Rattus norvegicus: one gene and its partner. The protein of the gene in region 2 purifies or fractionates together with the protein of the main gene of each other region. This does not show direct contact. Links are inferred from orthologs where the notes say so. Each region holds a gene or a part of one and is shown on either strand. Other genes may lie near its edges.

Region 1 (4,498 bases), on a different chromosome or scaffold from region 2:
CTCTCAGTAAGCAAAGAAGATGCTTAACCAACTGGCATTGGTGAGCAGAACAGTCGCCATCCACGGCGTGTTGTTGAATTCATGTGGCCACTCCCCAGGAGGTTGGTTAAAGGAGGTTTCCAATCATTGAGGAAAGGCGAGCGACTGAGGAGGACCCCTGTCTTAGACAGGGGTCTTTACACCAGTTTTGTCTTTTCCACAGTCGTCTTGGAGGATAGGGAAAGAAGGACCATATGATCACCCACATGGTGACATTTAGACATTTGATATATATCACCATACACGGGGGCATTTATCTTCCTGAGTTCTAAAGTGTGACAATACAAATTAAACCAAAACTAAAACAAAAAGCAGACGTGGAACCAGGAAACATGGATTCTCACATGGCTACAAGACATTTCATAGGCAATTGGGACTTTTACTCCCAGAGAGAGAGAGAGAGAGAGAGAGAGAGAGAGAGAGAGAGAGAGAGTGTGTGTGTGTGTGTGTGTGTGTCTGGAGAGATCCCTAGCTGTTATGAGCACTGGCACTTGCTGGTTGCTTTCCCAGCCTCTGGGAGAGCACAGGATGCTTACAACTCCAGTGACAGGGGATCCGACGCCCTCTTCTGGGCACTGCACTCACAGGATACACACACACACACACACACACACACACACACACACACACACACACACACAGACACACCCTCCTTAGGCAAAACACTCATCACAAACGTTCTTCTAAAAATCTTTTAAGAAACCAACAGTTAGAGCTGAAGTCCCAAGGTGCAGCATCTGAGCGTCTGAGGAGTCACCCAGAGGTGGCGAGTTGGTGGGGGAAGGGGTGCCATCTTGAAGCTGAACTTGGCTCAACAGCCCATCCTTTGGGTTCTTTTCTGACCTCATTACCTGCTGTGTTGCAGAGGCAGAGATCCCAAGGGAAAGCGTGGTCTTCACGCCCACTGGGTGTCCAGAGAGAGGTGCTAGATCGGATTCTTCCCAGTCTCTAAAGGAGCATCTTTAAGTTCATGAGGTTATTTTCCCGGGGTCAGCATGGCCTGACCTCTGCGGCCTCGTGAAGGACGGGCTGGGTAGACAGACGGACGAGGTAGGCGCTTGTCTGGTCCGTATTCTGTCTGGAGGCAAACGAGAAGAGGTATCAGTCAGCTTCCTCCATCCCTCCTCTCCGGCCCCCACAAAGGGCAAGGGCCAGACACGTGGGCCGCGGTGAAGAGGCGGGGATGCAAACGAACGGGGCGGAGGCTCATTTGCATAGACAGTGCGCGGCCACCAATCAGGACCGGCGGAGCGGTAGCCCGCGCGCCTTTTGGGGGCGGATTGACAGCCCCGCGGCCCTATGGGAGGCGGGTCCTGCGGCCGGCGGGGGCGGGACGACGGCGGGCGCTGCCCGGCGCACTAGCCGGCTTGCGGGCGCTGCCAGTCTCCGGCGGCGGTGTCCGGCGCGCGGCTGAGCGAGCGAGCGAGCGTGCGGACGGAGCGGCGGCCTGCTGGGCGGGCTGAGCGGCGCGCGCGGCGGAGAGACGCGAAGCGAGGGACGCAGTGGCGGCGGCGGCGGCGGCGACAGGTACGGGCGCCATTGGCCGCGGGGATGGTGCGCGCGCGCGCGCGGCGGACCCGGGAGCCGGCCCCGTGCTCGCGGTCCCGCTTCTGCCGCCCCTAGCGCGGCTTCCCTGGGGTGGCGTGGACGGGGCGTGCGGGAGGCCTGGGCCCCGCGTGGGTGGCGGAGCGGCCGGCGCCCCTCACCAGCGTCCCCCTCAGCGCGGCGCCGGCTCTCTCGCCCGCGCGCGGCTTTTGTTTCCCGCGCAGCCCACAGGTCCGGGGAGCCCCGTGTCGCTCCGCCACGCCGCCCTCCGGACGCGGAGGAAACTTGGCCTTCCGGAGCCCTGCGAGCCTCGCGGATAACGGAGCGCCTCGCCGCGTCCGCGGGGCCGCGCGATGGGCGTGCCGGCCGGGCACCGCCCTCACCTGCCGCTCCCGAGCCGGCTCGCACCAGGCAGGCAGGTGACCCGAGGGCCTCGGAGGTCCGGAGGAGGAAGGGCCAATTAAAAGTTGCTGTTCGGGCCTCTGAGGTGGCTGAGCGGGTACCGGCGCTTGCAGCCAAGCGTGACACGACATGGGTTCGATCCCCGGAACTGACATGGTGGGTAAGGCGAACCGACTCCCGCGAGTTGTCCTCTGACCTCCACGTGTACACAACACAAACACACACCTCTGACTCTGATGCACACGCTCATCTCTCACCACCCCACCCCCTCTCAATAATACTAAGGAAATAAAAGTTATTTTAGGAGTCTTCATTCCCTTCGGCCCAGCGATTATCACCACTCCTGTTCCGGCCATAGTGCATGACTCCAAACGCAGCATTTTGTGTGTGTTGGAGGGATGAATCTAAGGGAGCCCAATGCATTGTGATCATCTTCCTCCTCCTCATCTTCGCCTGTGGATGAGCCAGGTGGGGCGCTTGCGCCTCGTTTTTTAAATCATTGGTGTCTGCAACCGTGGCGAACGCGTTGGAAGAAGGTACAGATCGTAAGCAGAGCGTGCAGAACTTGGGACAGCCCTCGGCGGGGCTCGGGACAGTGTGTACAGCGCTTGGCCGCCATTCAGTAAATTCTGCATGCGGCAGTTGGGAGCTGGTGGTTTGGGGATTTTTTTTTTTTTCCCTTTCAGGAGTGTGTATTCCAGAGAACTAGGGCTGGGCGTCGAATGGGCGCTTTCTTTGCTTTCTCTAGGGGTGGGAGAGAGTGTCTGTTTCCATTGTCTCTATTTTCACAGGGTTGTGAACAAGGGAAGGGTTAAGGTGTGCTTGGGTTAAGTGTTTTGCCTCTTCCTTCCCACTTCTTGCTGTTAGCTTTATGTGTTGTTGTTACAAAATTGTAGCTTTTCCTCGTGGTGTCTGAATCAATTCAAGAAATGACTTGGGGGAGAAAAATCTTATTCTGGTGGGACATTCTTACCCTGTAATACTTTCACTTAACTGTTTTCTGTTACTCTCCAACCTGTTCCTCATTTGCCCAACATGCTTTGTGTGTGTGTGTGTGTGTGTGTGTGTGTGTGTGTGTGTGTGTTTGTGTGTGTACGCGTGCGCGGTATTTTTTGTTTTGTTTGGTATTTGAAATATCAAAGTTTTATTCCTTTGTTACTGGGAGTTTACTATTCCATTAAAACATACATAAAGTTCTGTAACCTAACACTCTTTTTTAACAGCTTTCACTTTGGGGGGTTCTACAGAAATGGGGTGCTTTAGCTGTTTTTAAGTACAAAGGTTAATAGTAATATTGTTTGTTAGAAACACTCCAATTAGTGTTCTCCCCTTTGTCTTCTGATGTGTCATGTGTGGTAACTGCCTTGGATATAATCTATACTTCAGAGATGTTGAACTTCAGAGCACAGTTAATTTTTATTTAATTACACTAATTAATTGAACAATCATTTTATTCATCTAGCTAATTTGAGTTAGCTATTAGTTGGGACCACTTGAGATTATTATTATTATTTTTTAATTTTGCTTCGTTTTTTGAGACAGGCTTTCTCTGTGTAGCACTGGCTGTCCTGGAACTCACTCGGGAGACCAGGCTGTCCTTCATCTCAGAGATTCCCCCTGCCTCTACCTCCCAGAGCTGGGACTAAAGGTGTTCACCACCACTGCCCAGCCACTTGAGGTAATTTTAAGTTAATCCAGGAATATTTTCTGCAAATTGTTTTAACACAATAGATTCATTAGTGGGGCTTTTGTCATTCCAACATTTAACAAAAGGATGTTTCTCTAGTCACTTTTTAGATTTTATCTTTCGGTCAGTGTTTGTGAGAGAACTTGGCACAGGTGTGGTTGTCAGAGAACAGCTTTGGAGTTTTCCTCTTGCCGTGTGTGGGTCCTGGACTTCCAGTTCCGGTGGTTTGGTTTGTAGGCTCTTTCCTCCGCTGAGCAGTATCACCAGCCAGCATTTCTTTTTAAAGACAGTTTAAACCACCTCAACATGAAAAGCCTAGGGTTCGGGATTGGGCAAGTCAGTTACTTTTTTTTTTTGTTTTTAAAGATTTATTTATTTATTATATATAAATACACTGTAGCTGTCTTCAGATACACCAGAAGAGGGTATCAGATCTCTTTACAGATGGTTGTGAGCCACCATGTGGTTGCTGGGAATTGAACTCATGACCTCTGGAAGAGCAGTCGGGTGCTCTTACCGCTGAGCCATCTCTCCAGCCCCAGTTACTTTTGAAGATTTTCTTTATTCTTGGGCTGGAAAAGAATGTGTATTGTGTCGTTAGTTCCTGAAGGCGAGTCAGGGGGATGTGTGCCGCCGAGCTTCAGTCAGCTGAAGCTCTGAGAGTCTGAAAGCTGATACAGGGCTCTTCCCCAGCAGAGCCGGCTCACCCTCCCTGGGCTCTCTCTCATTGCTTTAGGTGACTTAATTCTACTTTAGTGTTCTACCACATGAAATTGGAAGGTTTATAATGTTTTATCCTAGGTGCTGCATAAATGTTCCAAAGAC
Region 2 (3,315 bases):
AACATATCGAAGTGGACCTGCTGCCAGGTTCTCCCTGCATCCCTCAGTCCCTGTCTACTACAGAGTGCTCCAGACTGGCACGCCCCACCCTCTGCCCTAAACTTCTCCAACCCAGGGACTGGGCTGCCCTTTCCCCAGCTGTCCTTTCTTATATAATCCATTTTAGCTCCCCCTCCCGTTTTGAATCTTCCAGCTGCTGTACCTACTTCTGTCTTCCTTCCCCCTTCTCCTCCTACTACTTCTCACATGGCTCAGGAACATGTCCGCTCTGGGCTTTCTCAGCCAGATGTCCATGTCTATGACTATGTCCTATGTCTCCCTCGTATCCGCAATAAACTTTCTCCTTCATTCCTAGGAGTAGTGCCCCCTCCTCCCACCCCCTTTCTCTTTTCATTCAGGAACAAACCTTACTACGGAAATGATACAGTAGACCCAGAAAGGTGACACACAAAGGGCTCAGGTTGTTTAACAACCGTGAGTGGTGCCCATGATATCTGTACCCTCGTTAGTCTTAGGAAAGGCACTTCAGGCTGAAGTTTGTAGTAACTTTATTTTCTAAAAATATGCCCTAAAAGCCCATCCTTACTTATTTAAAAATAAACAGAAACGAAAAGCTTATCTGCACACAGGCTCGATGGAGTCAGCCCAGTGCCCCTCGGAAAGCCTTCAGGTCCTTCTGGAGCAGTTCTGCACCCGGCCTCTGCAGGGCGCGGGCCTCCCAGCAGCTCTGGACGATGTTCTGCAGCGTCTTCCCAGTCAGGGAGGCGGTGAACACCGCCCCTGCCAGTGACGGGCGCAGATTGTAGGCTACCACTGCGTACTGCACGTACTGAGGCTCGCCGGAGTAAGGCACCTCCCTGGTGGTCATCTGCCACAGGGTGATGCCAAAAGAGTAGATGTCGGCTTTGGGCGTGGCGATCTCTCCTTTCAGGAGCTCCGGAGCTTGGTGCGTGTACGTGCCCCCGATGTGGTGAAGGGACGCCTGCCGGCACCGCAGATCCTGAAGCTTCTGGGAGCAGCCGAAGTCACTTATCTTACAAACGTCCTTCTCACTGATCAAAATGTTCGCTGGCTTCAGGTCCAAGTGCAAAATGCTTTGTGAGTGGAGAAAAAGCAGGCCGTTAACAATATCTAGGGAATACTTGAGGCACTTTCCCAAACTCAGTTGCTCTCTGCAGCTGAGAGGCTCTGGGGAGCGGGTGGCACCGTAGATGACTTGGTGTAGAGTCACATTGCCCCCAAACTCCATGATTATGGTACCAAGGCTGTTGGAACCTTCCGGCGTGCGCGTGCTGGCAGCCACAACCCGGACTATGTTGTCGTGGTGCAGCCTTGCAATGTTCAGTTCAGCCCAGAAACTCCGCTGGGATGCACGTAGGTTCCTGGTGCACTTGTTCACTTGCTTGATGGCCACAGGAACACCGTGGTAAGTGGCTTTGTACACCGAGCCAAACCCTCCAGAACCCAGCCTATGCAGCAGGCATACCTGTCCCCAGTCTATGAAGCACCAGGCCAGCCGGCGTGACAGCCGCGGGGCCCGAGGAGGAGTGGCCCCCAGGAACTTCCCCGCCTTCCTCGAGGCCACCAAGGGGCTGCTGCAGGACCTCGAGTCCACCGTTGGCGACAGCTCGCGAGGGAGGTAGCGACACAGGATGAGAGGCGAAGGCATTACACCCTCAGATGGGACAGTCACAAGAGACGCTAGAGAGAAATGACCAGGAACACCCAGGGAAGTTTGGAAGCATGGCTGAAGGTTTCCGCCTTCATCCCATTTCCCTTCTTCTTGTATTCTCAAAACCAGCCACAACTGTGCTCTCACGTCTTGCTGCTCAGCAAGGTTGGTTTTTTGTTTTTTTGTTTTGTTTTTTTTTTTATCAGGTGGGGTTGGGCGTGCAGATGAAGCCTGGCAGTCTCAGATGAAACGATTGCTCTCTCACAGCTAAAGTGAATCCTTAGCAAAACAACCTCTCACCTGTTAAACAGTACTGGCCTGCCCCAAAGCTCACCTCTCCTTCCAACTAATTCTTGAATCATAATACAATGAAAAAACATTTCAAGGACCTTCTGACGATCATTAATTGGTCCTTAGACTGAAGAGAAAAGCAAAAGTACAGTGAACTTGGTGCACACTTTTCAGGCTATAATGATTGTTCGTGCTAGTCTCCAGCTGCATTAAATCAGTCCCAGCAGCTATTGGCTGCAAGAGTTGCAGTACAAACAGCAGACACTTGTTGAACTACTTGGCAGGGTTATTAGATGCAACCTTCATAAGAATTAACATCTGTAATTTTAATGTCTTTGATCCAAATACAATCTCGGATAGAAGGCAGAACTCGTACCTCCTAAGTCCATCAGAAGGGAGCAATCTGACACTGTATTTCATTTAAACAGCAAGTTAAGACTCCTTAACAACACACTGACTTCTACCGTCCCTTCCTTTCCCAGGCAAGTTAGGTCACAGAGCAAGCTTGCTTCAAGACAGATTCTAGACTTCACAGCAAACAAGTTCCTGGAATTTAACGCAGAGTTGGAAGGAGGAAGAAAGGGACAAAGGTGATTGTGATGACCATAGCTGAAAATAACAGCAATCATGGAGAAACAGGAGAAAAGCCAGGACAGACATGCCCAGAGTCACTGGTCCCCATCAGATACTGAACATAAATTCAGGGTCTGGCCGTCAAACCACACATTCGTCGTTTTTGGTTTTATAATAATGTGTTTGCTTTTCATGCCCTATCTTCCGGGGAGTAGGGAAGAACAACAACCTTGCTCTGTTCATTCAAAAACGGTTTCTCAAAGTGGTTAGGAGTTACACTTTCTAGCCACGCAGGAACGTGTTTTTGTGCACATGGTGATAAGTGGTCAGTGTTTATGTGGCAGCTGTGTCCTTCTGACCTCAGAATCACAGATTTTGAGAAGGCAAGTTGATAACAGAGAGCCATTTATATAAAAAACTCAAAGTTCACAAAACTCCAGGTTTCTGCTTAATGGTGATGATATGGTTTAGTGTCATCTTGCACAGAGTATATAATTGTTACAGCCTCGATGCTTTATGTAATAAATTAAGAAAGTAAACATTTAGGGAGAATAAAAGTTGAGTAGTTTCAAATATATTAAGGGACAAAATGTTAAACACGTAAACAGTGGAACATTTTAATAGAACCCCCATTTTGTACATGTATATCAAACCCAACTGAAAAAGGAAAACAGTGAGCGTGACAAAATTTAAGAGCACTGAAATTACTCTGCAAATTTGCTCAGCCATCACACAGATAAAATTACAGTTCAGGACTATGACCTGTGGATTTGAGGAGC

What was found.
Region 1: the proteins of Mos (region 2) and Fkbp5 purify together in Homo sapiens (affinity purification with mass spectrometry; 3 studies listed by BioGRID and IntAct, counting the BioPlex papers as one, with this or other methods). This does not show direct contact. The link is inferred for Rattus norvegicus from reciprocal best matches to the Homo sapiens genes MOS and FKBP5.

Annotation. Positions count from the first base shown.
Region 1 is NC_086038.1:6,540,537-6,545,034, reverse strand, and holds the start of Fkbp5 (peptidyl-prolyl cis-trans isomerase FKBP5), read left to right. Parts: upstream 1-1,479; 5' UTR 1,480-1,566; intron 1,567-1,617; exon of another isoform or gene 1,618-2,115; coding exon of another isoform or gene 2,116-2,142; intron 2,143-4,498. UniProt on the Homo sapiens protein: Immunophilin protein with PPIase and co-chaperone activities. Component of unligated steroid receptors heterocomplexes through interaction with heat-shock protein 90 (HSP90).
Region 2 is NC_086023.1:21,657,018-21,660,332, forward strand, and holds Mos (proto-oncogene serine/threonine-protein kinase mos), read right to left. Parts: upstream 1,840-3,315; 5' UTR 1,670-1,839; coding exon 641-1,669; 3' UTR 532-640; downstream 1-531.